Linked DNA regions of Oreochromis niloticus. The protein of the gene in region 2 binds, or shares a complex with, the protein of the main gene of each other region. Links are inferred from orthologs where the notes say so. Each region holds a gene or a part of one and is shown on either strand. Other genes may lie near its edges. The genes, in order: cep63 and cep152.

What was found.
Region 1: the proteins of cep152 (region 2) and cep63 are in contact, whole or in part, in a crystal structure (PDB 6CSU), measured with the Homo sapiens proteins. The link is inferred for Oreochromis niloticus from reciprocal best matches to the Homo sapiens genes CEP152 and CEP63. Residues at the interface, in NP_001181927.1 of Homo sapiens: Gly1261, Ala1262, Glu1265, Leu1266, Gln1269, Tyr1270, Lys1272, Ala1273, Lys1276, Ile1277, Asp1280, Met1281, Tyr1284, Glu1287, Ser1288, Arg1291, Ala1292, Met1295, Ala1298, Arg1302; in NP_001340037.1 of Homo sapiens: Phe666, Glu669, Glu670, Arg673, Ile677, Arg680, Leu681, His684, Glu687, Leu688, Glu691, Ser692, Thr695, Phe699.

The regions. Positions count from the first base shown.
Region 1 is NC_031986.2:32,686,539-32,702,965, forward strand, and holds the start of cep63 (centrosomal protein of 63 kDa), read left to right. Parts: upstream 1-8,338; 5' UTR 8,339-8,480; intron 8,481-8,534; exon of another isoform or gene 8,535-8,634; coding exon 8,635-8,675; intron 8,676-8,763; coding exon 8,764-8,941; intron 8,942-10,175; coding exon 10,176-10,271; intron 10,272-10,395; coding exon 10,396-10,485; intron 10,486-10,574; coding exon 10,575-10,688; intron 10,689-10,767; coding exon 10,768-10,917; exon of another isoform or gene 10,918-10,931; intron 10,932-11,205; coding exon 11,206-11,339; intron 11,340-12,189; coding exon 12,190-12,333; intron 12,334-12,541; coding exon 12,542-12,644; intron 12,645-12,728; coding exon 12,729-12,926; intron 12,927-13,818; coding exon 13,819-13,905; intron 13,906-14,041; coding exon 14,042-14,244; intron 14,245-14,389; coding exon 14,390-14,708; intron 14,709-14,804; coding exon 14,805-14,997; intron 14,998-16,427. Other genes in the region: im:7152348 (RING finger protein 223), read right to left, coding at 5,698-5,743, 5,827-5,931, 6,182-6,525. UniProt on the Homo sapiens protein: Required for normal spindle assembly.
Region 2 is NC_031972.2:49,856,319-49,872,409, reverse strand, and holds the start of cep152 (centrosomal protein of 152 kDa), read right to left. Parts: upstream 8,915-16,091; 5' UTR 8,374-8,914; intron 8,265-8,373; 5' UTR 8,234-8,264; coding exon 8,147-8,233; intron 7,291-8,146; exon of another isoform or gene 7,003-7,290; coding exon of another isoform or gene 6,940-7,002; intron 5,981-6,939; coding exon 5,871-5,980; intron 5,742-5,870; coding exon 5,681-5,741; intron 5,542-5,680; coding exon 5,242-5,541; intron 4,886-5,241; coding exon 4,738-4,885; intron 4,453-4,737; coding exon 4,312-4,452; intron 4,001-4,311; coding exon 3,861-4,000; intron 3,580-3,860; coding exon 3,379-3,579; intron 3,244-3,378; coding exon 3,096-3,243; intron 2,998-3,095; coding exon 2,906-2,997; intron 2,810-2,905; coding exon 2,646-2,809; intron 2,539-2,645; coding exon 2,337-2,538; intron 2,225-2,336; coding exon 2,120-2,224; intron 2,035-2,119; coding exon 1,904-2,034; intron 1,809-1,903; coding exon 1,680-1,808; intron 1,607-1,679; coding exon 1,306-1,606; intron 1,213-1,305; coding exon 955-1,212; and 4 more. Other genes in the region: galk2 (N-acetylgalactosamine kinase), read left to right, coding at 9,710-9,759, 9,839-9,927, 10,216-10,339, 10,478-10,571, 10,692-10,838, 11,049-11,147, 11,265-11,417, 11,651-11,861 and 2 more; atp8b4 (probable phospholipid-transporting ATPase IM), read right to left, coding at 15,961-16,091. UniProt on the Homo sapiens protein: Necessary for centrosome duplication; the function also seems to involve CEP63, CDK5RAP2 and WDR62 through a stepwise assembled complex at the centrosome that recruits CDK2 required for centriole duplication.

The DNA.
Region 1 (16,427 bases), on a different chromosome or scaffold from region 2:
GTGGCTGATCCAAATAAGGTATAGCCTCTGAAATGTGACTTACATTTTGATCTTCTTATTATGAGTCCTCCTGTGATAACACTCTTGAATGTAGCTTATGAAACAACATTGGTGTTGTCATGTTCTGTGAAATGGGTTAAACATGTCAGCCTATGTAAGCCTGAAAATATTCATAGTCTGAAGGTAGAACTCTGCATGACTTCAGTAAATATCTTGAAGTTACTGTGCATACACAACGTGCTGATTCTGAGGGAGCCAGGTGGGAACTTTTTAAGATTTTGTTGATTTATTTTTTTGTTGTTTTTCTTTTTCTTTGTTTTATTTTTTGGTTTTTATGGAATGACCCAACAAGCTCTGTGTGTGAGAGCTGGACAAGAGACGGTAGGCTTGGATATTTTTTTATGGATGCCACTGCTGTTATGGGCAAATACAGAAATCCCCCAAACTGTAACCACTGAAAACTTGTGTAACTCCCAATAGACCTTTTTTTTTTTTCTCTCAAACTTCCCTTCTGCCCATAACTCAGGTGGGATCCATAACTTGGTGTTTGAGTCATTACAGGACAAAGCGAACTTCTCGAGTATCTACTGCATGCCTAGTTTTTAAGCATAGGTACTGTTTACCCGTGTACACAAGTTTGAATATGTAAATGGTAACATTACACCCGTGACTCAATGCACTCGGATGACGACTAGTCCAAGTCTTTTTTTTTCTGTCTGTTTGTTTACGAACTGGATTTGTATACTTGACTACAGGATATGTGTTTGTCGTGTGTGTGTGTGTGCGTGCGTGTGTGTGGGTGTAAACGTGTGCTTTCTGCATCGGCAACGTTAGAATGCAGTTACATAGAGGGCCACTGACAAGTCGCATCATCCTCGCCACATTACGGCAACTTTGGGGTCACCGTTTTCACCTGTCAGCTGCTGTTGCATTGTGTGGTATCTTGGTGTTTGTGATTATGATGCACATACAGTGTACTTACTGTAAGCGAGCAGTGGAGGATCAAAGCCCTCGCCTTGGGTCACAGAGGACAGACTAAAGTTCCCTGATGACCGGTTCTGTGTTCAAACCGACCTTTAACATTGTAAATCAGTTTTTCTTTCCTGACAACAGACTAATTTGCACATGTAGACCTTTCAGGTTAATATGAAGTTATGAGAAGCTTCATGGTAAATGTACAGTCACTTAATTCAAAGACATTTCTGATTGTCATAGAAACTGTCGTTTCGTGTTCCCACCGAGATGAGGTTTTTGTTTGGTTTTTTTGATGTTCGTAGTATGAGGATCCATTTGTGCCAAAATTATGTTCACACAAAGACACACTAAGCATTTGTCAGCTGTGTTTGCAATGCATGCAGTGCAAACAGGCTTCAAACAGAATCTTGAGGCGAATGATTGCAGTGATTCTGTCGAGCGTAACTGTGAAGCGACGTAAAAACTGCTGTCGGTATGATGGTGAAAAACCAATCATGGACTGACAGATGTTGACTCTGGCTTCTCCTAAAATAGAGATGCAGTCAGACTGTCTCTTAAACTAATATAAGATAATCCATAGTCCAGCGATGAGGTGAGGTTGCGTCTCTTTCATTTGTTTTTTTGATCAAAGTCTAGAGCAAAGTCAACTGATGATTATTCAGAGCCAAAAAGTCTGTTGAAGTTCTATAACCTCACCTGATCACTATTTTTCCATCATTTATGCCACAGACCTGTTTTTTTTTAAAGATTTTATTGTGTTACATGTCAAAATGCTCTTCCCTAAAAGCTCAGACTCACTTAGTATTTAATTCAGCTCAGGCACAGCCGACTGAGCGAGAGCCCTACGGTCAACTAGGTGTCCGTGCAGAGGAAGAAAAAGTCACAAGTTTTCCCTGGATGAAGGATCCCTAGCAGGTCCTTTTGTCTGGAGATCTCTTTTAATTTTTTTGCTTTGAAAGCACCCGAGAGTTGGTGCTCCTTTACACGCCTGTGGCTGCAGTGCAGGTTTCGAGTTTTATCGTCATATAGAGGAATGGAAAAATCATAACCAGCAATGAATGCCCTGTACAAAAACACCCCCTAGTCTGGGACTGACTCTGTTCCAGATGATGCCATGACATCATGTGTCTTTCCATTTATTTTATCCCTTGTAATAAGTATAAATCCTGTCTTGGATGAGCCTCTCATCTTTTCTTAGTGCTGCTCTGCTTGTCTCTTGGTTTTGTGAACAGACATGAAAGTTTAAAAAACGCGGCCAGTTTTTTAAAATCCAGTAAAACGAGCAGGGCGACTTTTCGGGCATGTTTTGGCCACATAGACAGCAGCCGTACAAATGTAATTTTGACACCAGTGGATCCTCATACTAGCACCTAAACTGACTGCTGCCGTTTGTATGATGCAAGGTTGCAAACGGCTCTTAAAAATGTCAGAGTCGTAGGATTACGTGGCGGTTGTGAAGTCAGTCGAGAACACTACTTTGACTTGTCTTTGAGGTGAAATCTTTCCTGCACTTTTTAAGAACATGTTTTAGATATAGAGTGACGATGTTGATGTTTTAGAAACATGGTTAAAAAATAATAATATTTACTGTGTCTTAGAGTAGAATCAAACATGTAGGAGTTGTTCACGTTTCCAAAAAAAGAACCACACAAAAAAATAAACGGGGGAGCACTCTGGTGAAAGCTAGTGAACCTTTCTAACCCACATAATGAGCCAAATAATAAGACTAGTGAGAGACGGGATTGGTCAAATATGATGGGAGATCTGGACTGGAACACAGTGTTTTGCAGGTTTTAGAACAGTTGGGTTTTAAGTTTGAATCCCTCAAAATGAAAGTCTTGTAATGTTTACTCTCTTTGTGTTGCTGCCTCGTGAGGAGGGAGGTATTTATGTTTCAAACCACAGCAAAATGATTGATCATTACACACTCACACACTCGTATTTATTCCCCTTCAATATAAAAGTCCACCTTTGTTTCGTTGTTTCCTGTTAACATTTCTCTTGAAATGGACCAAGTGATGCAGCAGATGTCTTGTTGGGGGAGGCGTTGTGTGTTTGAGGATGTGGGGGGGGAGCCCTGTGCTCTGGCTTTCCATTCACACTGTACAGAAATCTAGCATGTCTCTCCAAATGATTAATAAAGATGTCTTATTACCAAAGTCATGCACGGGACTTTTCTTAAATAAACTTTACTTCTTCTTTTCTTTCTTCCTTAGCTTTGGAGGACCAAAACTGTAAAAATCCAAAATAAATGACATAAATAGAACATTTTAATAAGATTTGTGTGGGGGGGCCTCCCAGGTGGGGGCTTTCAGGTATGTCTTACTGGTTGGAGGCCCCAGGTAGGCCTACACTGGAGATAATATCCCAGAGGAGCTGAAGGAAGTGGTCGGGGAGAAGGAGATCTGAGCCTCTCTGCTTGAATCGCTGCCCTCATGAACTTTATAAACTGCTGAAAATAAAATTAATTAAAAAATATAATTTCAAATACAATGTATTTATATATATTTTAAATAATTGCTTCCTGTTTGTATCTTTATACTATATTTAGTTCTTTTAATTTTATATTTTTTAATAGGTCATTTATGTATTTCTTTATATATTTTTAATTTGACAGTTTTGGCCATTCGTACTTAGCCAGAGAAAAACCAAAGACTGCATAAAAGATGGACATGGCTGTCATCGTTCTTGAAACAAGGACATAGAGCTGCAGTAAAGCTACCTAAAAAAAAAGAAAATAAATAAAAAAAGCTTAGTGTGTGTTGGCAGCCTAAAAAGTAATGGTACAGTAAATTAAAAATTAATGTAATTCATTTTTTGATTGTATTCTTTATACCCACTGGATAAAAGCCAGACTTTTAAAAGGTGTCTGTCTTAAATTTTGACCTTTTGAAAACTACAACACAAAAAAATATGGCACGCAATAAAAACCCTGAAATGATTGGATAACGCTAAAACTGCTGTACTGTCATGACTTTAAGCTTGCTGTTATGTGCACTCTCTCAGTGTGTAGGTCACAATAAGGAATTATTGTGTCACGTTATCATACGTGTCGTGGCATGCATGGTTTCTACTTTGACTCAGTAACAATTATCTCCAGTTTCTACTCATGACGGTTTGCTGATTTCATTGCTGTTTCCAGCTGTGATTTTGTTATAATAACCTTAATAGAAACTAAATGATGACTCTTTCTAGGCCACCTGTGCAGGTAATAATGTAGTTTTTCTATCACAAGAATGAAAGTTGATCTTTAATTTGTTTAGTTATTTCGTACTTTTCCGTACTGCAAGTGTTTGTGTGGATTCAGATACTCAAACAGGAACGTACTATTGTTTGCAATGCAGTACGGAGGAAATGATCTTACACCATGACGTTGTTGCAAAGCTTCCCCACTGGAGCTGAAAATATTTTTGTGGCTCATGGTTAAATAACCGCCTCATTAATCAGTCTGACCAAAGAAACCTGCAGATGCTTATGCGGGCCTTCAGTTTTTAGGTTGGTGTAATTTACCACAGTATTTAATTCTGATGCTAGGCCTAAATTATCCTCCAGGAAAAGTGTATTTTTATATTTTAGCATTCCAACTCCGACTGAAGTCAATTATGTGCATTATCCCACCACTGCTGAGACAATCTGGGAGTTGTTTCCTGTTCTGTTCAGCTTTAATCTTGGGGATTACCACCATCAGGCCTGCACGGAGAGCCAGTAAATACATTGCAAAACTGAAACTGGTTCGTTGCCATATACACAATCATGCGTGTGCGTGTTTGTTTGTTGCTGCCTTCCCGATACATTCCTGTCCAGCCTGCCCCCGTGGCTGCCAGCTTATTTTGAACTTGGAGGCAGCTTCCTGTTTGGCAGTAATTTAAACGTGGGAATATGGTATCCAAAGACCGAATAACACACCGCCTGCCAATATATGACTAAGAGTACGCAGGCTAACAGTTGAGACCAAACCAGTGTGACAACTAACAGATTTTCAGCTCCATCCAAACAGCACTGACCTTAATGTGACTGAGACACCAAACACATCATAGTCAACGTATCTTCTTTAAAATATGTCGGAGGGGGTTTAACATGGACATAAAGTGGAACAAAAAGAAAAGAAAGTGATGATCCAGTTTGCAGATATCATTGAACGTGGAATATGTGCCAGATGCTCGGTGAATGGAGTTTTATAATCCACTTTCATGGTTGAATGAGTCTTTTGTGGCAGGTTTTTGTTGTGCGTCTTCTCCACAAGAATAATATTCAGAAATCCCCTCCTGGCTTCACTTTTTTCACTCACTTAAATACTTCATGTGTCATAAATGGTGCATGCAGTAAAGGAGGAAAACTCATGATTCTTTCAGATGTCAATAAAACCCAATGGACACCTGTTTGAAAAATAGTTTTATTAAATACTTTATGTCCTAGCTATCATAAATACAGAAAACAATAAGTTATGATGGCTATTCAGGAGCTGAAATGGAGAGGGGACCATCTGTTCTGAGGGGGTCTAGGTCTACGGGTGTTAGCCCCTCTGGGACAGCTGAACTAAATCCCACAGCAACGGCTGGGAGAATTAATCCTAGAATAAATAATGGGGAGACGGAGCACCTTTGGCTGAGGACAAAACTGTGTCCTGACAGGATCACAAATGAATCCTCCTCCCCCAGCGACCACAGCTTCCCTTCAAAGTTGAGTCTTCTCGTCCTGAGAGCGGCCACTTGTCAGTTACTTTTAAAAAGTCTCTTCTGTTGAAAGTCTGCGCCAGGATTTCATTTCCCTTTAAGATGAAACAAAAAGAAAAATATAAGTGATCATTTTTACTAATAATCTGTAAATAAAAGCTACAAACTCAGAACGTACACATTGCTGCCAGGCACGATTCTCTCCTGGTGTTGCTTCGTCAGACTGAACCTCCTGAAGAACGTGGGCAGTTTGAGCTTCGCTCTGGCGGATCTCGAGGAAATGCTGAAAAGAGAAAAGGCTCTCGTGTCAGACTGGGCTTTGGGAAAAATGCTGTAGAGCCGAGGCGCTAATGAGAAGCTGTGTGGACAAATGGACTGCTCGGCACTAATGTGTAAAGGACTCGGTATGACAGGAATTTCATATTCAGCACTGCCTCCAAAGAGGTTTTGTTCTCATTTTCTGCCATTTAAAACATTTTCAGTCCTCAACTTCCACACTAGTAATGTTTAAAGACTCAAAATGATAAACCCACCATTCTCCTTGTAACTGTTTAGCTTCTATTCTCTCCTGTGCAGCTGTTTGCTTCTCTCCCTCCTCCTCTTCCTCTTCTTCTCTTATGTCCACATCCTCCGGTATCTGGTCCCACAGCTCGCTGTTAACCCACAGAGCTTCTCGAAGACCTCGACCTCGGCCTATGCAGGTCACCCGGCGACACAAAGGGCAGCCCACGGTGAGCAGACCGTTCCTCTCCGTTGACATCCTCTCCAGACACGAATCGCAGAAGGTGTGCCTGCAGTGGAGCACCCGGGGGATCCTCTCCTCCCGGGAGTAGGGCAACAGGCAGACGCTACAGTCGCCATCCTCACAGAGAACCATGGTCAACCCTGACAACTTGTGGACTTAAGGATTTTTCTACAAAATCTAAATTTTTAATGGGTGTGAATAGGCTTTCTGCGAGTCCAGTGTTTAGAAACAATGGTGAAGATGATGGCTCCAGCAGATCCCAAGCTCAACAAAGTGACTCCCTAATACATTAAAAAACATTTTTATTAGCTATTAGAAGCATTGTTGCATCAAATTTAATTTAAATAAACGTTAATCTGAATTATTGTAGTATTGATGTTTTTTAATCCAGACAATGAACCTGATTAGAAAGGACACCAATATACCAAAATACACTACCATCTACTATCTTATGCTGAGTTGAAAGAAAAATGTTTCAATAATAATAATAATAAAGAGTGTACTTACAGCTGGCCTTTGCGTGTAATTTATTGTCCGTCTTTGGCTGCACAGCTCAGCCTCTCTGCAGTGAATGGTGTCAGAAAGCCGGCTCGTCTGCCTCCTGTTAGGAGTGTCTGTTGGGTTTGTGGGGGCGGAACAGAAACGTCTCCAGCTCTTTCTCTTTCTCACGGCCCCATACCCACCCAGCATAACAGCTGGGGAAGCAGAGCGGAGGGGACGCTCTTTGTTCAGTGTTTGACGACAGGCAGGTGGAGAAACGGGGAAATGACGCAACGGGAGGCGGGTGTAGTCACACAGAAAAAGTAATCTAGTTAGCTTTAACATGAAAAACATTAAAAACATCCTTATGTTTCAAGATAAATTGAAAAGGTTTGATATTCTTCAGGAATAATAGAAAAGGAGGGCTCGTCCGGGATTTGAACCCGGGACCTCTCGCACCCAAAGCGAGAATCATACCCCTAGACCAACGAGCCGGTTGCAAAGAGTTCTGTGGTAGCGTTTTTATATGTTGACATATCCATGACTTGACTGTATTTAATCAACAATCATTGCGTCACTATAAGAGAATATAATCACAACCTCAATATAAGGACTAACGGATGTCAGCAAATTCCTGAAGACTATTTGGACGGAATCGACGTCAGAAATATTTTTCCTTCCAAAAATACAACTGACCACAAAGAGTAGGGACCCTACACTATTTTGTTGGTTTCTACCGTGACTGGCACAGCATATAAATCACCAGTTCTGAGACCGTCCTACTTTGGCAAACCGTCCTATACGTAGGATAATTTGACAGTGACTTCTGACAAACCGTAACCCTAACCATAACCCTAATCATAACCATAACAAATATTCACATTGGCCTAAAAAAATGAAGTAAATTTGGGGATTGCGTTGTTTCCGCATGCGCAGAAACAACGGGTAGACTGTTTCGTGTGGTAGGATGGATTCCCAGAACACCGGAACACGACCACAAGACAATTCAGAAGTGAAAACGCGCATTAGCTTGAAAACTGGTAGCAGTGCTGACCACTTACGTAGACTCCACAGTCGACTCTACAAAAATTCACTGCAGAAGTTTGAAGTAAATATGTCAACAGTCCTCCGGTACAAAAATTGGGCTCGTCCGGGATTTGAACCCGGGACCTCTCGCACCCGAAGCGAGAATCATACCCCTAGACCAACGAGCCACGTGTTCATAGGATGTCTGACAATATCCTTTAATCGTCGATAAAACCAACATGATGACATATATTATGATATCATTTGTTACAAAGCGTTAAAGGTAACAGGGAATTTCCAAACACGAACTTACATAGCTAGACGTGTGGATAACAAGTCTCTTTTGATTATTTTAAACCACTTGCTTCCTGTGCTCTGGAGTTACGTACAGCGTGTTGACATCACATGCCGGGGTGGAGTTACCGCCTTACCTCAGGAAGCGCGCTGTTCGGTTGTGCAGTGTAGTCCAGCTAGTGATGTAAACAAATAAAGTTGGATGAGTTGAAACGGACCAGCCACAGCCAGCAGCTAACGTGAGCTAACTATGCTGGAAGCAGAAACCACCTCCGTGTAGCAGTCAGGTCAGCCTTGGTTTAGCTCGCTGTGTATTATGGGTTGCTAGTAACGTTTATGGTTGCTAAGTTATAGTGAACTTCTTGCGTAGGGAAAGGGCACGTGAAGCGACCGCAAAGCCAGTCCGCTTTAAGTTACTAACAGGACTTTACTTTAAACCAGATGGAGGCTTTTCTGGGGTCGATGCACAACCCTGATCTGAGGTAACTTGCACTGCGCTTAAAGAACTAACTTGGGCAATGAGCATTTACAGAAATTACATCCTTTTCGTTATTTGGCTTTTCCTTTCAGCTCAGTCCTTTCATCGTGTGAGCCGGAGCTTCAGGAACTGATGCGACAAATTGACATCATGATCAACGATCAGAAGAGGAAGTGGGAAGATGAGACTTGTGCCTTGGAGCTCAGGCTGAAAAGTAGAGAAGAGGAACTTTTAAACTCAAGGAGCACAATTGAACGGAGGGAACTGGAGGTGAAATAGAAGAGCCTAAGAGTTTATTCTAAACAGGAGCAAAGTTCTAAAAGATAAATAATGATGTGTACACGTGTTTATCCAGTGTTGGTACTCCTCCCTCGATCCTGTTAGTGATGTTCATGGACAGGATGTCAAAGTGTAGCCGGTGTGAGGAGGTGTCCATTGTGGGAACCTCAAAATCACATCCCTGTGTTGTGCAAATTATCATATCAGCGAAACTTCAAGATATAAATATAAAAGGACATACGTATTAACATTAATGTTTATGGGACATTAACAGGTAAAAGGTGCTGCTAGGTGTGCACATATACTTTGTGGCAGAGTGCAGTGAGGTGTGTTTAGTCTTGATCAGTATGTGTGGGTCTGACCAAAGTAGATGAATTAAAGAGTCTGATAGCAGCAGACTCGCAGACAGTCAGGTTAAAAGAATCTCCAGGTTGATGAGCTTCATGCCAACTACAGATTCGGCCTTCCTGATGAGGTTATTCAATCAGTTTGCATCCAACAGATATAGTTCTTCATCACAGCATGACCATCAGCATGCACTGGAGCGGTTTGCAGCCTGGATGAGGGCCTGCACCTACAAGTCTGAGGCTATGATCTTAGTCACAAGTGAAGGGAACGTGGAGTGTGAGATGCCTGCAATCTCCTAAAGTGCGTGCTGAAATCTGGGGAATGACCTAACAAGTGTGGTGGTAGATGCAAGCAGCTGAAGTGAGTCTGGGCTTAGCGGTAGGATTAGGAGCTTGGACATCTGGAGGGAGCTCAGAGTCGAAGCACTGCTTCTCGCTCTTAAAAAGAGCAAGTTGAGGTGGCCTCTAATCAGGACACTTGCTCCCTTTTTAAGGTTTCCCAGCGGCGTTGCTTTGTCTGCTGCCGCCACAAATCAATGTCAGATGAGGGAAAGAAAAATGGATGTTGTTGATATGATTGAATCAGCCTTTATTTAAGTAAAACTAGATTTGGATTCTTTACTTTTGTTGATGATTTGACGATGACAAAATTTGTAGATTGTAAACCTGCAATTTTTGTGGGCACCAACGATGAAGTGGGGTGGTGCATCAAGGCTCAGTGTGAATAAATAAAGAGCATTTTGAGTAGAGACCAAAAATAAAAAAATATGCAGCTGGTAATGAGCATAGCCTCAATATAAGATAGTTGCTAACACAGCTCATAAATTGTGTGCTCATATTAACTCTTTCCAACACCATTACTGTACCCATGACTGTAGATTGGATTACTCCGCAAGCAGCTTGAAGATGTCCAGACTGGCCGACAAGAGTTAGCCGCCAAGTATGAGCAGCAACTGCACAAACTCCGTGAAGAGGTGTGAAAACTCGTCTGTTACAAATCTTTTCTGCTGTTGCTTGGGCAGAAGTTTACAGTTTTTCTGTTTGTACTCACTCTCCCGCATAATTTCAAATATAGTAAGTGCATTTTTTTTCCTGCAGTTGGATAAGTTAAAGAGAAGTTACCACAAGCTTCAGCGCAAACACCTCAAGGACGCTAACGCAGGAGTGAAAGAGACAGACCTCCAGAAGGTGAACCCTGATATCACCCCAGTCATGCCATTGGATTGCTGCCGTCTGCTGGGTATGTGAGGTATAATCATGCTCCCCTCTCTCTGCAGGAATATCATCAGCGCTCTCTGGAGTGGGAGCAGCACCGCACCCAGAGCCAGCAGGAGCTCACAGCCCTGGAGGCCGAGAATAAGAGCTTGAAAGATGAGCTCTCACACATAAAAGTAAGTTCAGTGACTTCAGCATGTAAAGAAAGCAGAGGCTTGTCTGTTTTATTCACCACGTGTTTTCTGTTGTTTCCAGTCCCAGTGGGCAGCGCATCAAGTGGAGAGGGAGCACAGGGATTGCTGTTTGGAGGTGCAGCGCCTGCGCTCTCAGCTGGAAAAAGCTCAGAGAAGTCTGCACACACAGGAGCTGGAACTGGAGCGTCTCCGACCACTTGAGAGTTGGCAGGTAGGTTCAGAAGCCTGGGGAAGGTGATAGGACGGAAGATTTTGAATTAAACAACACTCACAGCAAGTTTCTCCGACATGTATTAAGCCTGTAAGAAAAGTTAAATGAAAAAGTCTTTAGTCTACCGATCAACTTTATCAGTGTCGAGAAACTGAGCTTTAACATTTAATCCAGTGCCCATAAACCTCTTAATGTTGATTATTCAGTTAAGCATTTTCAAGCTCAAAGTTCCTCATAGGTGCCAGGTTAGAATATGTTTTAATCAGCTGAGGATCCGCTGTTTTGCAGGTGCTTTCTGAGGAATGGGAGGAGCTGGACTCCCAGGATGCATTTGTGCGGCGAGCCAGTCTTGAGCGCCAAAGACTCCGTAACGAAACAGCCAGATTCAACCAAGCGCTGCAAGCTAAAGATCAAGTCATTCGGTGGGTGTATGCCTAGTGATGTAGTTCAGCAACTTGTACAGAAGGGGGCGTACTGCGTCCACACTGTAGGCAGGATGTTACCTTGTAGCACTCAGGTTTATTCACCAAGCTTTCCAAGTGACTGACTCTGAAGTATTTGCAGCCAAAACGAGAGCTGATCAAATTCTTTAAATGCTAAGCAAACTGGCCATCTACCTGCAGACTGCGTCAGTTGTAGATGTAGGGAGTGTGAAAAATGTGGTATAACTGGTCTGTGGGCTACTCCTGCTTGTGCTGTTGTTGGTCTGTCAGCGACTGTTAAATACGACCCGAGTGTTGAAAACCACAACAAGTGTCCACTGCAGCCACGGTCTGTACTTTTCATACTGTAGTTTTTCTAATCTTTAATGATTGTTTCATGGTTCTCCTGTCCCTAGTGAACCAGGGAATCCACTTCCCTATTCCAAGCCAATTGTCAACCAATGAGGATTCAACAGAATCCTAGATCATCCATGTCCAGTGATATGCAGTTAGGATTTTGGAGGACTGCGTTTCATGTGTGCACAAATTACACTTTAGTCCTGTCTGTTAAGGGTTTTGGGTTTTTTTTTGCTATTCCCAGAAAAGTCTTGATCAAGTCACGAGCTAGAAGCTAAACTCAGTGTGACACTCCATAGAATATTTATTCCTGTTTATTTAAAATTACAACATCAGTAATCAAGTGATATTTTTATCCAGCCTGCATGAATCAACACATCCTTCTTAATATCTTTTCTTCATCTTCTGATGTTTTCTGTTGGGAAAAACAATTAGCTATTGTCCATCATAAAGGTTGCCATCCTGTGAGTGTTTGTGTGATGTTCTTGTGCAGCTCTCTGGAAGACTGTCTGGTAGCTCAGGGCTGCACCGGTGTGGAAATCCTCAGACGAGAGCTGGAGAAGACTGCAGCCAAGCTCCAAGGTGCCCAAGCATATCAGGGTCATCTCAAGGCTGAACTGGCATGTCTCAAAGAGAGGTAATGTTAGTCCGCCCCTTCATGTAGTCCAAAACCCAAGTTTGTTTTTTAGTCTTTTAGTCCTGTCTTGAGCTGAAGTAAATAGTGAGTGAGTGGGAATGGGGTGCGCCTGATTTATATCACCAGAAGAAAAATTAGAGACTTAATCACTTTTCAGATTCAGATCTTTTTTCTGTGCGAGTCATTGCTTTTATTTGTCTGGACTCAGGCTGCAGGTGGTGAGTAAACAGAGAGATGAAAACTTGAAGACGGAGCAAGAACTGCGAAGCCTGAAAGCTGAATGTGACTCTTCTATGGCTGAAGCGAAAAGGGTCTGTGTTTTTGTTTTTGTTTATTTTATTTTTTTTCATTCTTGTGCTTGTTGTTTAACAATCCTGCCTACGTTTGATCTACAGCTCAGAGAGGACCTTGAGCGGGCCAGGCAGACTCACAGCGGCGAAGTTGAGGGAATGAGAAAGGAGGTGTCAAAGCTGACCAGCGAGCTGCACGAACGCGACCTCGCCATCGCCAGTCTGAGCACCTCCTCGTCCAGCATCAAGCAGCAGCTTCGCGATGAGGCGGAGCGATCAGAGAAGAAGGCTGCTGAGCTCAAAGTGAGAATTCATTCTAGAGAGAGAACTAGAATGATCAGATGAGCCTCTATGAGCAGCAATCCCTTTAAAAATGGGGATAGCCGGGCTGAGCGATCAACAGCCATCCAAGGCCCCTTAAATCCTCTCCTCCTAATAACAGCAAGTTTATAAAGGATCTAGATTAATGGACTGCATGAATGCTGTACTGGGCAGGGACTGGACAGTGAAACTTGAAGCTTTTACCCAGAAAAATGGTGGACCCTTAACAAGCCGATGGTGTAACGTCCCGTCCTTTGCTGCTCTCCGTTTGTGTAATCAGCTAGAGCACAGGTGTCGAACTCCAGGCCTCGAGGGCCGGTGTCCTGCAGGTTTTAGATGTGTCCTTGATCCAACACAGCTCATACAAATTGCTAAATGACCTCCTCAGCATGTCTTGAAGTTCTCCAGAGGCCTGGTAATGAACTAATCATGTGTTGTTAAAGATGTGTTGACCCAGGGTGAGATCTAAAACCTGCAGGACACCGGCCCTCGAGGCCTGGAGTTTGACACCGCTGCTCTAGAGCCTGTTTGTTTCCCACCTAAGAAATACTGGTACATTTATATTCAACAGGAGGAGTATAACCAATCACAGAAGTTGAAAAATCTTTAACTTGTGCGAATGGATTCATCTGTGTTCACATACGCTTGCTTTCACTTTGCATTTAGTATAAACATTAAATCTTTCTAACTTGTTTTTACAGGCACTTTAATAAATAAGGCACTTACTCACAAACCTCGATTTCCTGACGGCTGGTTTGCTATTTCTTAGCATTTATTCTGTATCTCCGGCAGATTAATGCAGCCTGTTTTGTGCCAAATGTGAAATGATGTTGTATTCTTTGAGGTTCGTTACATTTTTCTCATTCTTTCACAGATGACTCAGGCACAGCTGGAGATGGTACAGGCTGAGAACCAGCACCTGAAAGGTCTGCTGCAGAGACTGCAGCCTCAGTCACCAAAGGTTTGTCTGCTTCGATATCAGTCATCACTCATGTTACAGACAGGAGCCTTTTCTTTGTGCCTCTTCTGTGCTTTTTTTCTAAGTCCGACTCACTCCTCTGTCGTTTTACCCCCCTGAATCACTCATTGCTTCACAGAGGGGGGGCTCCCAGCTTGCCTCCCTGAGGGAGAGTTATGTGTCTTCTCTGAGCAGCCTGGAGCAGGAGAATCGGCAGTTAAGGCAGACACTCGCTGAGATGCAGTCACAACTTGAGGCCTCCAATCAGAGCAGTCAGGATAAATATGAACACGCCGTGCTCAGCCATGCTGCGACTGACCGAGAGCAGCCTGCATATAACAGGTAGTGAGCATATGTACACAGACAGGCTATTTTCCAACAGTGGTCGCCTGTAAAAGAGGGAAATTTTCAGTATTTTATAAAAACTAAGATATAAAATGTTTTTCCATATTAGATTTAAATAGTTTGGGGTGTTATTTTGTCACAGGCCACAGGAGAACATGCAAGTCAGAAAAGCTCAGGCTCTAGAGAACACCACTCGCTATGAAGGAGAGATCCAGGTGCTCTTTAAAGAGCTTCAAAGCTCATCCAAGACATCCACAGATCTGTCCCGCAGCCAGTCCAACGGCAGCAGACCTCATTCATCCGCCTCCTCGTCCTCCAGCAGCAGCACCACAACAAGACTGTCCACGAGAAACTCTGTGCCAGTCCTAAGCTCCAGCAAATCTGCAGCTGATGGACAAAACTCAAGCCCAGGAGACTCTCTGACCAGCAGCGATAAAGAGATTTCTTCTCCCTCTTCAGAGGTGAGCCTCATCTAAATTAATGTCTTGTAACATTTTGTTTAGGTGGGTTTAGTTTGGGTGATGAATCCTAAAGTCGCATTTTTCTTCCCTCTTTAGGACCTTTTGTCTGCATCGCTGACAGACACAGTGGTCACTCGTTTCCTGGAGGAAGAGAACCTACGGACTGAGGAGCTGCTGCAGAGTCTGGACAGCCACATCTTCGGGATGAAGGAGAAGAACAACAAGACACTCTCCACGTTCCTGCACAGCAGCTCAGAGCTGGACTCTGCCCAGATCTCAGTGCAGGATGGTCAGTGATGCAGTCACAACAGTGCCACCTGTGTTCTTGTGCTTTATATCATCATGAATGATCGCAGATGGGTTAGTGCGTCCCTTGATTGAGTGTTTTATCACATTTATGCCACGAGTTAAACCAAGTGTTTCTTAATAACCGTCTGTAGTAAATGTTGTAGGCTGTTACACTTGAATGTGTTTATCTGTGTGCTAGAAAAAGCTGAATGTAGCTTCCAGGTCTGAAAAGTGAAGCCAGAAAGCACAAGTGCCTTGAAGCTGTATTTCTTCTAATGGCCAGCAGGGGGCGACTCCCAGAGTAGCAAAACAAATCCATTTAATTTGAAGTCTGGGAAAAATGGCCAGTGTCTCCCTTTGCCTGTGACTTCGTGTAACACTTTCCTGATAAATTTATGGGCTCAGTCTATTGCTTGAGGTCATAATGAGAACAACGTGATGTCTACTTCACAAATCGTCATCCCCTTCAGTGTCCAGAAGGCGGTTAAACTTGGTATGCTTTAAGGCATGTCTCCCTTCTGATTGACAAGATTCTGCCCTAAATCCTGCACTGCAAGATTCAGGAAGCAGGAGGAATGTGTTCGAACACCACGTAAGTCAAATGTCCAGGTAGAAGGACAAGATGATGAAGTTTGAGTAGGAGAACTTGGTTGGTCCAAACTGCTGTTTTTGTATTTTTTTTTTTTTCTTGACCTGCATATTTTATTTTATTGTCTGGAATGCAGCATCGATGGGACGTTTGCATTTCCATCCAGACAGACTCATGGTGCAGCGAGCCAAAGGAGGGTCCATCCTCCCCACACGTCTGTCATAACTTAGAAAATACCACATCGTTTACACTGTGTCCATGATGGAGGGAGAGTCAAACACACACACACACACACCATCAACACCCGTCTGTAGAGGCCCTCCAGCCCGTCGAGCGCAGGAATGCGTGCACCGTGCCAATGCTGTCATGGACCTTCATCCCCTGCGGCGTGCTTCGTCCTCATCATTAGAAAGCTGATGGAATGTTAATTTCTTCCATGTGCACCGGTGAAAAAGCTGAGGGGGGGGGGCGTGGGGACAATTTACTGCTCTCCCAGTGAAGGACGCTCTGATCGAATGGAAATAAAGTGGGAAACAAATCTCGAGAAGTATGTGTTTTTCATTTTTGCCTTCATAATGTTACAATAACAAAAGAGAAGTGATGTTCAGCTGAGCTCTCTGACTTCTCACTTTGGTATTCGTGAGCCTGCTTTACGAGCGCTTAAAGCTCCAACAAACAGCGCTCAGGAATTTGGCAAGGCAGGCATTCCTCTGGCTCTCTGCAGAGGGAGGTGAAAAGGTTTTTATATGTGCTGAGATTCCTTGAAGGGGCCTAAGTAAAAGGGAGGAGGAATTGATTTACTTATGTAATAATTCACAGAAAATAAATTCAGGCTGTAAGAT
Region 2 (16,091 bases):
TTTCCTTGCATCAGTTCCTTTTCTGCATGCTGGCATCGCCACTCCTCCTCACGAGCACTCACAGTTTGCTGAAGCTTGGCCTCCATCTGTAGGAGCAGCTCATTCTTCTGGAGATCAGCATCTTCTTTGGCTTGGTGTACAGCCTGCTCCAGCTTTTTGCCCTGCTCTTGCAGCTTGGCTTGATACACCTGCTCGCTGCGGGCCTGGATGATGGCGATCTCCTGCTGTTTGTCTCTGTTCCAGGCTGCTCTCGCTCCGGCCAGCTCAGCTTTCAATAAGGCAGCTTGCTCTCTGGTCACTTGCTCCAGCTGGCTCTGGAGGGCTGCCAGTTCCTCTTGCAGCTTCTCCATCCTTTGTGGCCCAGAGCTGTTCTCCTCCTGCTGGTTCTTGTGCTTCCTGCGCCATTGCTCTTCCGCTTCCTTCAGTGCTTGGGATACCTAAAACATTTAAATAAATATATAAACCCAGACAACAGCAGTGACACTTTTCAAATAAAAGACAAATACTCTTTCATACCTGCTGTTGGGTGTGTTTTTCTTGCAGTTGTTCCCATTTCTCCTTCTCTGTTTGTAGAGCAGCTTGATATTCTGGCAGTGAAGTCAGATCCTCAATCCAGCGATTATAGGCTCTTGTTACTGCCCCTTCAACCTGAAACAAACACAAACGCAAATTTATGTCCATTAACTGAACCAAATAATCATGTCAAAGAGGAAAAGAATGATATAAACATTTTTACATAATGGTAGAAAATAACTTTACCAAGTCTTGTGAGTAATATACAATAAAACTGAGTTTCTAAAGGCTTAAATCTCTGTACCTAAAATAGATGAAGGTGATATTAAGAGTCTGAAATGTCATATTCCATGTCATACATGCAAAACACATGCATATGTATTTTGATGACCATTAAAATGTTTAATATTGCCTTGAAATACAATAATAAAACAAACTGACTTGTTTAGCCATGTCGTCCAGGTGTTTCTCCTGCAACTCTCTCTGGACTTGTTTCCTGGCTTCCTCCACAGCTTTCCTTCTGACATTTTCAGATTCCAGTTGCAGCTGCTGTCTCTGGGCACTGAGCCTGGAGTCCAACTCCTCAGCAGAAATTGTCAGACTGACCTCATTCTCATCCGTCTGACAGCTCGTCTCAGCAGCCTTTCGATGTTCCTCTCTTGTAGCCTCCTCCAACCTCTGGGCCCAGGTCTTCTCAATCTGTATAAAAAGTACAACAGAAGAAAATAAGTCTTGTATGAAATCAATATTAGTCAAATGAGGGAGATAGGAATACACTTTTAATAGTCATACCTTTTGCAACTCCTCCTTCCATGCAGCCTCAGCGGATGCTAAATGAGAAGTCAGCTGTTGCTGGAACTCAGCCTCTTTCTCTTTGGACCAGACAGCTTTGAGCTCCATAACTGAGGCCTGATGCTGAGCCTCAAGCTCACTTCTCAGCTTCTGCATAGCTGTGCCACTCTCCTCTCTGATCAACTTCTCCTCCTTCTCTCTGCTGCGGATGCTTTCTTCAAGCAAGTCCTTCTCCTTGCAGACAGATATGTAACATTCTTGTACTGCCAGCACCTTATCATTAGCTTCAGAGAGCTGACCTCTGTGGAAAAAATAAATTAGCCACAAAAGTCTGAAAACAACTATATTTTTACCATGAGGTGCAGGAGACTTACTGTAACTGCTGAAGCTGCTGCTGCTGCTGTGTCGTCAGCCGCTCTACCTGAGCGTCGTGTTCCAGCATGAGTTCTGTTCTGACCCTGTTAACCACATCATTCCTGTACTGCTGATGAATCCGTTCAGATCTTAGCAAAAGAAGCACATATACTCACAAATACACATAACCCAGGAAATTACACATACCCCAAGAAAGAGGAGGAAGAGAAAGAGTCACTTTTACCTCTCAGCAGCTTCTTGCTTTTCTTGGTCGAGCTCCTGGATCATCTCCCTCATTTTGGTGCACAACTCAGAATTGGCAGACTTCAGTTTTTCCTCGTTTTCTTTCAGCTCCTGATTCTTCTTTTCTAGCAGCTGCAGTTTGGAGAAAACAACAGTCTTTTGTGACTTAGCCAAAAAACTAAGAACATGATAAGTCTGACGACAAACATCAACCCACCTCCACTTGTTCCTGCAAGTGTGTTTTGTCCTCCTGTAATCTCATCAACTCTTTTTGAGAGTCTCCAGTCATGTCTTGATGTTTCTTCTGGCTGGTTTCTTTCATCTGGGTAGATCAAAAATGTCTGCATCAGTCACCTAAACCTGCCCACTTTTAGTACTTTTATAAAATTAACCAAAGTTTAGAAAAGTTACAGTTTTCAGGAGTCAGCACTCACCTCAGAGTTAAGTTTTGTTTCATCTAATTCAATCTGCATTTCATTCACGCGACGCTGACACTGCTGGAGCTCCTCTTGCAGCTGGTTGATCTTCTGCCGCTTCCCCTTTAAACTACCCAGGCAGCGCTGCATCTCTACTCGTAGCAACCTTAAAGCCTCATCCTTGGGCAGCTTGGAGTCTGACAGGTGAGCCAAAGCAGTACTGACAAAACAACAGAAAAATGTGTTTCCAAAGGTTACTCTGGAGAGTTCAGCCCAAGAGGGGAAGAGATACAGATCACAATGACTGCTCTGTATTCACACTGTTACCTATTAAGCGTGCCGTTTTTCCTGTTTGTTTTCTTCAACCCCAAATCCACACAGGATTCAGACAGCTGGTTCTCCCAGTTGCTGCTTAGGTCTATCGCAATGACACCGTGCTTCACTGCAGATTCATACAGAGCGATCTGCTCCTTCAGATCAGCCATATCCTCCTTTAGGGTGAAAATGAAAAAACACAAAACGTTTGTGCAGCTTGTTCATCAGAAGTCACAGGAGTAGTTGTGCTTTAGAAAAATCTGAGGACAAACCTGTAAAACTTTGTTCATGTTCTCACTCAGGGCCTTGGCTGACAGTGCCTGCTGTAGTTTGATTTGCATTTGACTCATCTCTTGCACTGAATCTGAAAATAAAAAACATAATTAGATCGATTAAATGTGAGCAAGAATAAGGTAATGTGGGTGTCAGCTGCTCAGTAATGTTCATGTGGAGTTCACACACTTGTCTGCAGCAGCTTGGCGCATTGTTTTTGACTCTCTTCCAGACGCTGTGTGAGTGCATTCACCACTCTGGCTCTCTCCAGTTGCTCTTCTTCTCTCTGGCGTTCCAACAGCTTCACATGCTCCCGTAACGTCTGACCAATATCAAGCTGGAAGCCACAGAACAAAAAACACACTCTGACGTAACAATAATAATAATATAATCAACATTTGTCCGATGACAAAGAATGGACTTTTGGTTAACTTGTTCCATTTTCTAATACTATGTCAATAAAACTCCAGACCTGTTCATTCAAAGTCTGAGAGGTAGAGTCCAGCTTCTGTTGCAGGGCTAACAGAGCAGCCTCATGCTGCTCCTTTATGACAGCAAGGTCTCTGTCATGCTGTTCCCGCGCTCTGGACAGCGTGTCAGAACGGCGAAGCTCCAACATCTGTTGCTTCATACTGTCTACCGCAGCATCTGCAACCCTCTGTTTCTTCATGTTCTGCAAACAAAAGAAAACCTTTGCTATATACACTAAAAAGAAGCATTCTCATACAAAGGTTTCAGTCATGCATCATGTTTCAGTAAGCAGAGCTGGTTTAGACACATTTGTATACAAAATTTCATATTATATTCTTAAATCTATAAAGCTGACAAAGCTTTTGAATTCCTTAAGTGCATGTTTCTTCAATAGTTACAGTTAACTATTATTACCGTCTTAAATTTGGCGTTAAATAACTAAGAAAATAGAATGAAAACAGTGTTTGTCAGCACAGAACATACCTCGTGGTCTCTCTCAGTGAGGATCTGTACTTGCTGCTCCATTGCCTTCAGCTTGTTTTGCATTTGGACTTCTCTTTCTTTGGCTTCTTCAATCAATCGACTCGCTTCCTTTAAACTTACTGCTAGGCCGTCCTTTTCATCTATGGACAATTTTTAAAAAAAGGACCATCAGCACATCTAGCAAGCAGTGCTACATCACTAACAGCCACAAGGGGGCAGATGTTTTAACCAACTAAAGACAAACTTGCATTTACTTCTACTAGTCTCAGTGCTATAAACTGACAATCCCTCTCAAGTCATAAGTGCCCAAGGTTTTGAGTGGATTTCTATTATTACACTATACTGTTATTATTATGGTTGTAAAAAAATTTTTTTTAAAAACCCTCCATAATCATATACTGTTCAAGTACTGCAACAAAGTGAGATGTCCCTCATTTTAAGTTGAACATACCTTTGACGATTACAAATTGATGCTCGAGGTATCTCATGTTACGCCGTGAATCCTCAAGTTTTCGCTCCAAGTCTTCAATTTGCCTCTGTTGGGCTTTGTTCAAAATCTGCAGCTGGGCAAGCTGCTCCCGGTCAGCATTTTCTGAAACAAAGATAATTTTGTGTTTAATTTTAGTCATTTTTCATTGTGAAGACATTTTCAATTTAAGCAATGTCATTTTTTAAGCCACTGGCAATTCAAATTACACCTTTCTGCAGTACAGCTAGACTATGCATACAACTGGAAGAAAAAAATGCCTTGTAACGGATTAAGCTACTTGACAACAGCCATCTGCAGTCCCGAAACAGGCACACATCTCATTAAATAGTTTATATTTACATGTCAGTGTACTAGTACTATTATTTAGTCAATGAAACTAAGACTTACGTTGTGTTGAGTCAAGGAAATCTCTCTGTAGATGGTCAAACTGACCTTGCTGAGCGGCCTGTGGCTTAAACATGTTTGGCTGATGGGCAGGATGATGAGGATTGTAGCTCACCTTGTACTGATTTGCACCTCTGTCACATACTTCAGACTTTAAACATAGAAACATAGTATGATAGTAGTGAAAATGTTGCTGTATTTAAAAAACACAAATACACAAACAAAACATGCAAACATAAAAAAATAAAACTGCACAAACTACAAATTGCCAGAAAACAAGATGTTAATTTAAAATGACATTTGAGGACATTTCATACACACAAGTAATGTACGTTTCTTTTGGAATAAAATGCTGCTTTTTTAAAAAAAAAAAATACTAGAAATCCTTTCATGTTACTATTTATTCAAATGATTTGGAGGCATTAAGACTTAAAACCTTAAAGGAAAGAACAGCACAATAACAGCTAGGACCTTCTGGATGCTTTTGAAATGAAATGGTCCACTCACTTGAAATTGGTGGTTTTGCTTGTCCATGTATCCTCTTTCTCCGTTATATTCCACATGATTACTGGCACCCTGAGGGTATGGTTTAGACTCAAACTCAGTGGAAAAATCACTGGTCTCTGTCATTTTGTCTGTGCCCATGCTTGTGCATGTATAATCTGCTTGTGTGAACTGATGATCCTGGTTCCAGGTGTGAGGCAGAGGTTGACTTTGAGGGGGACTCCGATGTCCATTAATATGAGCAGCTCCATCCTTATATGCATACTCATTGTTCAACCCTTCATCATAGTGATCTTCATAGTTCTTTAGAGAGACAATAACAGAGAGTGATTCTTTCCCTTTTGAACTTTTTTTGTATGCACCATTTATGAGTTGTATTTTTTTGATGGCAAAAATATTCAAGGCCCCTAAATCTACTACTGAACATAAACTAACACTCTACCTGTGTATGAGGGGCTGGCCTTGGATGACCAGACCATTGCTGAGTCCAGCTGGACTGTGGGCTAAGTAGAGAAAGCACAACAAATGATAACTAATGTTCCAGTGACAACAAATCTGCTTGTCTTTAACCACACCCAGAGTTCTCGAAATGTGACATTACATATAGTGTCATCAGCAGCAACATGTGTTACCTGTTGCCAGTGTTTTTATTACTGCAGGCAGTGTAATCCAGCTCTGGGGAGGAGAAGTCAATGCTATCCTCAAGCATGTCATCAGGCAGGTCTGTGAGCAGCTTGTGCAGCTGCGAGAAAGGAAAAAAAAAAAGAAAGAGAGGAAATAGCACATGGAAATGAGTCACTATGGTTGCTTCGCAACTGAGTTATAAAGTAACAAAGATAGAGGAAAAAAAACACCAGAGCTAAGCAATCACTGACAGCTTAAAAGGCTGTAAAAGTCTTATGCAGTGTGTTTTTATTATTTAGCTGCAGTTTTGAGAAACACTTGTTACATTAAATATCATTACATTATGCTGTGTAGAGTTACTAAATCAAAATTATTCAGGCTATACCTAAAAACACTTTCAGAAACTTTTTGTGTTTGCATGTGAGATTTAAGGATAAACTTTGATTAAATGATTAATCACGGAAGTCTTCTATGAAGCAAAAGCTCCAAATATGCTGTAAATAAACACTGAGTATTTGCACTCTCTGACTGTATTTTGCACAGCACTGCACAGTGTAGCCCAATCTTTATATAGCAAAAAACCTTCTACTATTTAAATATTTGCATATTGTGCTCATATGGCAGTATTTGTATTTTGTGACCTAAATGGGTGAATTTAGTCCTATGTTAATCACTGGTTTAGAACCCATCCATCCGCTTCCACTTGTCCTTTTAATCAATTAACCTGTCCCCACAAACTGCATGTCTTGGGACGGTGGGAGGAAGCCGGAGTACCCGGAAGGAACACGCAAACTCCACACAGAAAGACCCTCGGCCTGATGGTGGAATTGAACTCAGGACCTTCTTGCTGTGCGGCAACAGTGCTAACCACCATGCCACCGTGCTGCCGGTTTAGAACCCATATGTGTAAATTTACTTTGAAATAAAACTGATTCTCATTAAGTCTTTCCTTGTTTAATATTTTGACACTTGCAAATAAAATGACACAAAAAAAACAAACTCCTCAGTAACAGACTAACCAAAGTTGCATAACAAACAGCCATGTGTGTTGAAACAAGCAGAGCCAGCTGGACTTACTTCCCATAAGGACCGCTGAATACTCCTCAGATCCTCCACTGTGTCCACAACCGAAGGACCCATATTATCCCACTTACACAGTCAACAAAATTTGAAAAGGCATTTCTACTTCAGCTGTGAAACCACGAGATAACCCCCAGCCTAATCTGCCTGTAGAGAAGGCCTTCTGTGTAAAACATCCAAAACGTGCCTGGCATGTTGTCGGCTCCCTGTGGTATTGTCTTGTTTGCCTCGCAAAGACCTCCATTGTTTAGACAAAACATATAGCAAAGTTAACTGGAGCAGAAACATTCCAGTTACTGCTGGCAGACATTATCCATAATGAGCTAGTGTATTATAAGTAGGTTATAGCCTAAAAAAAGAAAAAAAGAATAAATAAAAATAAATGAAATGAAATGAAAATCTATTTAATTAATACTATTTAAAGCCCATTATGCTGAGCTCTATAAGATCACCAAATGCTTCTTCGCTTTCTCTCCTGAAGCCAAGTAACCCAAATGGAAAGTGGGGAAGCCAAAGGGCTGAGCTGGTTTCAGTGTGACACACCTGGAAGGAGGCCTTTTCCTTGAGCCAATAATAGCTCAAGCTCACAGCACAACAGATTGTAGATGTGAGTAATAACAGTGAGTAACTGTGAAGCAGGCAATGCTTGTGAAATTCAAACAATGCACTTGTCAATGATTCCCCAGACAGCACTACAAACTCACAAAGAGAAATGTAAGATCAACAGTAGTAGTGAAATCTGGTAAACATACAATCACTGTACACAGTGATAGTAAATGTAAAGTAAGCTGAGATAAATAATGACTTCTTACTATTTTGTAATTTTAGCATTAGCTGGACATGTTGTTGTGTTCTTGCATGTTGAATAACATGCACAGGCTTTCTACTGTGTTGACTGATATCAGCAACTATGATGGCTGTAACCAATGAGCGATGAACAAGCAGAGTCAGCTGGCTAAATATGTTTAAACACAATTAGATGAGTCGAAAGACAAATCGTGTTTTCACAATAGGCTTTCTCAGTTAGCTAAGTGGGCACTAAATAACAGAGTAAATAAAAAATATCCATCAAATTGTTATCGTAAATATCCTAAGAAATTCAGGGTGCATGCCGAATGTGAACTCAGTCCAACAACTGGATGCACAATTATCAGACAGATGTTATCTGAATAATTCTGAAAAGCTGTAGATCTGAGTGTTGCACCTCTTGCTCTCTCGCGTAGTCCTCTTGGTCGTATTCCTCTTCATCGTGTTGGGTTTGAAGAGCAGCACTGTCAAAATCAATAGACATAATGCACACCCTCCTGGTCGTTTAGGGGATGCTAGGAAAACAGGAACAACAAAACTTAATTTATCTTTGACAGCAGTTAAAAACTCAAGTTAACTAAAATTACGCATTGATATCAGCTAGAAATATATATCAAAGCTTACCCGTTAATTAAAAGACGGCAGATCTCTCCTTTGCTGAGCTGCGTATCCCTATTATTGAGTATTAGCTTCAACTGTTAGCCATGCTGCACTTTACATTACAAAACAGTGAGGCTTATTAGCGAGCGGTAAACCCGGACATGCCAAACAAACGACCCAGCCGAGCTCTGGAAACATATGCCCAACACGTTTAACAAGACACGCAGGTTTAATGCCAAATAATAGGCCAGTTTGCGAACATTTAAGATGGAAGCTAACTTCGTAGCGAACAAAGCTAACTCCTGCTAGCCGTACCTTGTTAGACTCGCCCACTTTGAAAACTCGCGCGCGTTAGCAGCGCCAAACCACTGCGACTCTTTGAGACAGAGCGGATTTCAGAAACTGATTGCACACAGACTTACTCATTATCACAACTGACGCTAATTCACCGACACGAAAATATTAATTTAAATGCTTTTTGGCGTAACAAAACATACCAGGTGAAGCTATTTACAAGATTTCTTTTCTTGCTGAGAACCCCGGAGCTAGTTAACCCCGTGTCCATGGTAACAAAGTCGTTAGAATTATGGGTAGTGTAGTTATCGAGATTATTTGGAAATGATATATAAAATGTTATGTTTGTTGTTGTTCTTTCAGGTTGTTTTTTGTTTTTCTTTCCTCCTTTTTTATTCCTGGTCAACATGTATTAATTTTTTATGCGCAAACAAAGCCACACTTTCATGAAAAACTTCGTCATCGCTGGCATTTTTAAAAAGCAATCTGATGTTCCCATCGTGTGGTTAAACAGTGACATAGCAGCTAATTTCAAGATAACCGTAAACAGGGTTACTAAATAGATATTATAATCAGATTAGTCAAACCTGGGAATTTAATCACAAAAATGTGGCATTACATTTCTGTTATTTTAATTACCTTTTTATTTTTTTTATACCTGTTTATTTTTTTTACTGAAGTTCATTGACGTTAACATTAAAGCAAATAATTTAAAGTAGGCTACTGTAAAAAAAAAAAAAGAAACTTTGTGCATTAAATTTATGAATGACCGTTCTTATTAGTATTTGGAGTTACCCCATTCAGATTTGTGGACGTCGACTCATAAGACCCGCCCCCTTTCCGTCTATTAACTTCCGCATTTTGCCTCTGCTGCCTCAGCTGCTTCAGAGTCAGCTCTTCCTTTGTAGACAGACGCTAAACTCAGCTGAGCTCCGACCAGAGTTCAGCATTGTGGTATCCGGGAGCCTCTTGTGACAGTCAGCTGATCTAAACCCGGATATGTGAAAGCTCTGAGCTCTCCTGTCTGACAACAAGTGGACTCACAATTACTTTAAAACGGGTAGAAATGGCCACAAACCCGCCCAAGTTAAAGACAAAGATAGCTGCTAACGAGAGGTGAGAAGCAACGAGGTTACGCAGTGATTCTCAGAGTATAATATTATGATACTTAATTGCTTTTCTTGTCATTTTGCAGGATGAAAAACTTAAAAGAAACCTTTGAGTCAAAGTATGGGGAATCTCCTCTCTTCTATGCATTTGCACCTGGAAGGGTAAACCTAATAGGTAATTTCATACTTTATGTGGCATGTGTTGTAGACTGATTGCATTATTGTATATGCTCCATCTATTTTGTATCTGTTGAATAAGTACAGTGTATACCTATATAAATATCATCTGGAGATAATAGTAGTTCTGCCAGTGGGTGTTCTTAATATTTTGACCTTGTTTCAAAGTAAAACATTTGTGGTAATATTATGATTTTGTTTGCAGCTTTTATCCAGGAATTTTTTAGTGGTACCAGTCAAACACGGTCTCTCACATACATCTTTTTCATATTTGTCACATTAACAGGTGAACACATTGATTACTGTGGCTATTCTGTGCTTCCAATGGCCATCGAGCAGAATATCCTCGCAGCTGTGTCAGTGAACAATTCAGGGAAGATCCAGCTGGCCAATGCAAATCCTAAATACAAGTGAGATGTGAACCCTTATAGTGACAGCCCCAATATATATTTTTTGTTTGTGTGTTTTTGGCCTGTGTAATTTATTCAATGGTAGCTGTACATTATGAGTGTGTGTTCTCAGAAAGCTTGTTGTTTGTCATTATACAGGGATTTCAGTGTGTCGTGTTCAGAGGAAATTGCCATAGATAGAGATGATCCACAGTGGTATTATTATTTTCTCTGTGGGGTTAAAGGTATTCAGGTAAGTTTTGTGATGAGTTCTATACTTAAATTATGGAATGGCAAAAAATGAATACTATAACATGTACTAAATGCATCATAAGTGGTAACATGATACATTTAGATTTTTTTTTTCTTTCAGGAGAAGTTTGGGCTAAACCATTTAGCAGGGATGTCCTGTGTCGTAGATGGAACGATCCCTCCGAGCTCCGGCCTGTCCAGTTCTAGTGCCTTAGTTTGTTGTTCTGGCCTCGTAACAATGGAGGCAAACCAAAAGTCCCTCTCCAAGGTGAAGCTTCTTTGTAACCAAACCAAAAACATGTATTAATTTCTTTTGGTAACAGTCAAAAATGATGCTTTCAACAGGTAATGAACAATTAATCACAAAGAATATGACTCCTAATACATATTGTCTTTAATTTGTTATAATGTGAATCCTTATGAGTCAGACATTCTCCTGGATTTGTTAATTAAAGAGGAAAACTTTGTATTTCACCAGGTGGCTCTTGCGGAGATTTGTGCCAAAAGTGAGCGATACATTGGCACAGAGGGAGGAGGCATGGACCAGTCAATTTCATTCCTGGCAGAGGCAGGAACTGTATGTAGCCCGACCGCCTTTGACCTGTGTTTGACGAATATGGCACATCTAAAATACACTATTTAAACAAATAATAACTTCAATATTGCTGGCTAAACTTTTTGAATTGTCTGCCAGGCAAAGCTGATAGAGTTCCAGCCCCTGCGTGCTACCGATGTCAAACTCCCCGATGGTGCCGTGTTTGTGATTTCCAACTGCTGCGTGGAGATGAACAAAGCTGCTTCTTCTCACTACAACATCCGTGTGGTGGAGTGTCGGATCGCCACGAAGGTGCTATTTGTTGCCGTGATGCATTCCTGAAATATCTGTTATATATGTTGTTTTATTTCCTGAGTTTCAATTTAATATTGAATTTAGTTTGACTCGTGTGCTCTTTCAAAGGCAACAGAGCACAACAACCCAAGAACACAGCGATGAACAGCCTCACGCTTCGCTGTAAACTTTAAACATGTGTGATAAGTTTGTAATATTCAAAGTTAACATCACAGTGGATGTGTACTCAGATGCTGGCCCAGGCGCGGGGTGTGGACTCGAGCAGGCTGTTGAAGCTCGCTCATGTTCAGATGGAGCTGAAGGCCTCCCTGGAGGAGATGCTGGCTCTGGTGGACGAGGTGCTGCACCCCGAGCCTTACAGCCGAGAGGAGATATGCAAGGTGCTGGGCATCACCTCGGAGCAGTTTTCAACAGAGCTGCTCAGCGCTAATACTCAGGACAGTAAGTAAAACCTGTGTGGGCGCTGATAAAGCAGGAGCTCTATGTGAAGTACTCCATTAATGGAGCGCAAAAAAGCGTGTTGCTAGTTTAATTCCCCACCCCATCTTTCTAAGTCTGATATATTTTGACATTGACAGATTATTGTAGTACATTCACACTAAAATGCATCATATTTTATCAATATTGCAACTAAAATGTGGTATTTATATTTTCCTGTGCATTTTATTTAGGTGAACTAAATTTCCAACCAACCAAATACTTCTACCTGAGTGAAATGAGCTACATTTCTTTCTTTCAGAACATTTTTCTTAGTTGTAAATATATTCTAAGCAACCCTTAATATATTATTTTCTGCTGATAGTCAAGTATTTGGTTATTCCATCACATTAGATTTTTTTTTTTTTTTTTTTCATTTCCAGTCTCATGAAAACAGGTTTAAGATTAAGGTTTTTGCTGGAACACTTTTCCTGTTATTTCTCTCAGTGACACAGTTCAAGCTTCACCAGCGAGCCAAACATGTGTACGGGGAAGCTGCACGAGTCCTGCAGTTTAAGAGCGTGTGCGACTCTGAACCTGCCAATGCCACGCGGCTACTGGGAGAGCTGATGAACCAAAGCCACGCAAGCTGCAGAGACCTCTACGAGTGCAGCTGCCCTGAACTGGACCAATTAGTTGATATCTGCCTGTGAGTACTGCAAACTAAACCACTCCTGCACAGCCTGGGAGAGAAACTTGGATGTTATCCAATGAATGTTTAGAGGTATTTAGGTTCATTTACCAAAAAAAAGATCTCAATTAATAAAAATCCACAATGCAAACTATAATATAATAACTATAACTATAATCCAGTTTGCATACAGTCTCTCATGTGTCCCAGTTCTAATTATAAAAGACAATCAATTAATCAAGTGCATCAGAATAGCAGAACCAGGCTGCTACTTGCCCTCTCAGTTCCTTTGGAAGCAGTAAGGATGGACTTAGTCATTCAAGGGCTGTATGATTTCTACTCGTGTTAGCATTAGCTCTTTGCTGAATGCTTACAGTAAGTAGAACCTCACACCACTAGCATGACTGTAGATGTACATGCAACCCCTTCCTCACATCTTTCTAGAGGAATAATAGTATTAAAGTGTCAAACTTAGCACTATGTTGTCTTTTTGTTTTTTCTCATGGTTGCAGGAAGTCAGGGGCTGTGGGTTCCCGCCTGACAGGAGCAGGGTGGGGAGGCTGTGCCGTTTCCATGGTTCCCAGTGAGAAGGTGGAGTCTTTCTTACAAGCTGTTAGAGAAGAATACTACCTCCCTGATCCACGCAGAGCAGCAATAGAAAAACAAAGTCTGTTTGTATCAAAGCCAGGTGGTGGAGCTGCAATTTACCTCGAGGAGTGATCTTCATAATCCATTTCTGATTTTATACCGGTTTTTATACCGCAGTCATTCAGTTTCAGTTAAATGGGTTTCAGATGGTTTTCAGTTTCAGAAATGGGTTTTTCTTACACATGTGACTAATGATATGATGACTGATAAATTTAACTTTTTCCTCTATATAGATCACGCTGGAAAATAAGGGCCAAAGATTTGCTTCCGTGGTGCATTCAAACATGTTCTTTTTTATTATAATGAAAGATTTTGTTGAGAAGTCATTGTCTGTCTGCACATTTCTCTCATAAACAAAAAGACAGCAAATGTAAGAAAAACAGCAACAAAAACAAACTTGTGCTGTATAAAATTCATCTAAATTAAAATTTCAGACACTAACATTAAAAGGCAAAAAAAAAAAACTTCTCTCCATGTGCATTAATGGAAACGCAGAGTGTTGGGGTTGTAGTGTATTAAAGACATTCAAAAGGCTCAAATGCTGGATGTCAACTTCTGCACAGTAATATTTTTTACTTCATAAAAGAGCATTGATTGTTGGAGGCTTAGAGGTCTATGCATCATATTCCAAAGAAGTGTGTGTGTTGGGGGGGGGGGCATTTTTTAGTTTCGTAGTACATAAGAGTGGCCCCTTTTACATGTTATTCATGTAAAATGATAATAAAAATTAAGTATGAAGCAAGTAAATGGTTAAAATACAAATCCAAATAAGTTTGTGAGAGAGGCAAGAGATGGTTTGGAGATGTGGAGGAGAGAGTGGTTATTTTATAATATGAAGCTGCCAGGCAGGAGGAGAAGAGGAAGGAGGTTCATGGATGTGGTGGAGGAGGACATGCAGAGAGGTTGGTGTGACAGAGGAAGATAGGCTGAGATGGACCCCTAATGAAAGCAGTTGAAAGAAGAACACCACTATGTGAGGGTTTTCAGCTAGGGGTATATCTCATTCTTTCCTTATGAATCCATCAATGGCAAAACGCTCAAAAGCCTTTATTATATCATATTTTACCTGCCCTGTGTTTGCATCTCTTTTATGAACAATTATCTACTTCAAAAAACTGGGATGGTTTAAGTAATTTTTAAATGTAAAACTTATCCACTTCTTCGATGTATGATCAAACCTCACTTATTTTCTTATGTCTTACTCAAGCCATGCATTCCAGTTTTACTTTGTCCTTAAATATACTCAGGCCAAATCAGAGATGACATATTAAATAGAAGAGAGCTGTCTTTAACAGAAACTATTAAAGGCACAGCACAGGGCAATGGATCTCAGAGCAGTGTCATTGTGGTATGCTGTATGCCACAAACTGTAAAATGTATTAAACGTTTAAAATCTGTAATTAATTGTGCTTACCATCCTATTCAGCAGCATTACTTCAGTATTTACAATACTTATTTTTTAGCACTTTGGATGTATGTTAAGAAGAAAGTGTGTTTCAGTGCATAGTTTTTAAAGATGGTGCATTTTGTACTTGTGGCCAGGGCGATCTTCCCTTTTGTAATTTACGAGCCCGGCCCTAAAAGAGTTGGGGCATTGGGGCACTGTGTAAGATGTAAATAAAAACAAAATGCGATGATCTGCGAATCTCAAACCCACACGATAAAACCTAGAAAGCATGTCAAATGATTAAACTGAGACATTTTACTATTTGATGAGAAATATTGTTTCAATTTCAATTTGATGACAGCAACATATTTCAGAAAAGTTGGGCAACAGCTAATTAGGCTGAGTAAGATGATTGGATATGAAAAAAACTGTATACAAATTGTGGAAAATTTTCAGGATAATGTTCCTCGATGTAATATTGCAAAGACTTTGAATGTCTAATCTATACAGTACATTATATCATCAAAAGATCCAGAGAATCTGGAGAAATCTCTGTGCTCAGGGGGTGAGGCCAAAAATTCTGCCACAGAAATCACTGCACAGTTTCAGAAATCATTGTGTGAGAAGACAGTTCACTGGTCCATCGACAAATGCGAACACGATCTAGAAACGCTGCCGTCTCCTCTGGGATATATTAAACCCAAAAGTTCAGCAGCTTTAGTTCCCAGATGTTTAAGGACAGATGCTATATTGTGATAAACATGGCCATGTCCCAGCTTTTTTGAGATGTGTTGATGGCATCAAATTTAAAATCAAATGTTTTTCTTCAAATGTTTCCTGAGTTTAAACATCTGCTAAGTTTTCTGTGGTGTATTGTGAATACACTATGGGTGTGAGATTTGCAAATGATTGCCATTCTGCCGTTGTTTACATTTTATACATCGTTCTGACTTTTTTGGGAACTGCGTTTGTTTTTATTGCACAAAGGTTTGTTTTGTAACAGCTAAAAGTACTGAAACGTCTTTATTAATCAGAAGAGGCCATGCCATTATAATGGTACAAAACTAAGGTCAAACTGGATTATTTCTGAGCAACGATAAATGTTTCTTTAACTTTTGCAATTCATGCAAATATTGTCATGAAAAATAACCTATGCTGTCAGAGTGAGGGTTTGCCAATTTCTTTGTTCATTCGGGAATGGTTCCCTCGTTTAATTATGTTTTGGCTGGCATTTATAACATTCAGTGTCCGCATAACTCGCACTTTTTAAAAAAAAAACAACAACAACAAAAATAACTGAGGTACATTTGTGTAGCTGATTTGAGCAAAGATTCACTCAGAATTGTGCTTGGTCTGTAGGATCCATGCATACGGTACCCTTTACTGTATGCAGTGTCTTAAATGTCGAGTTCAGTCTGCGTGCTTTTTTTGCTTCGAGTCTGTATTGCTCTGTTGCCGCTTTTTGGTGCTCCACCTTCACTTTCAGGTGAGGCACAGGAAACTTCATTCTTCCTCTTTAACATGTTTT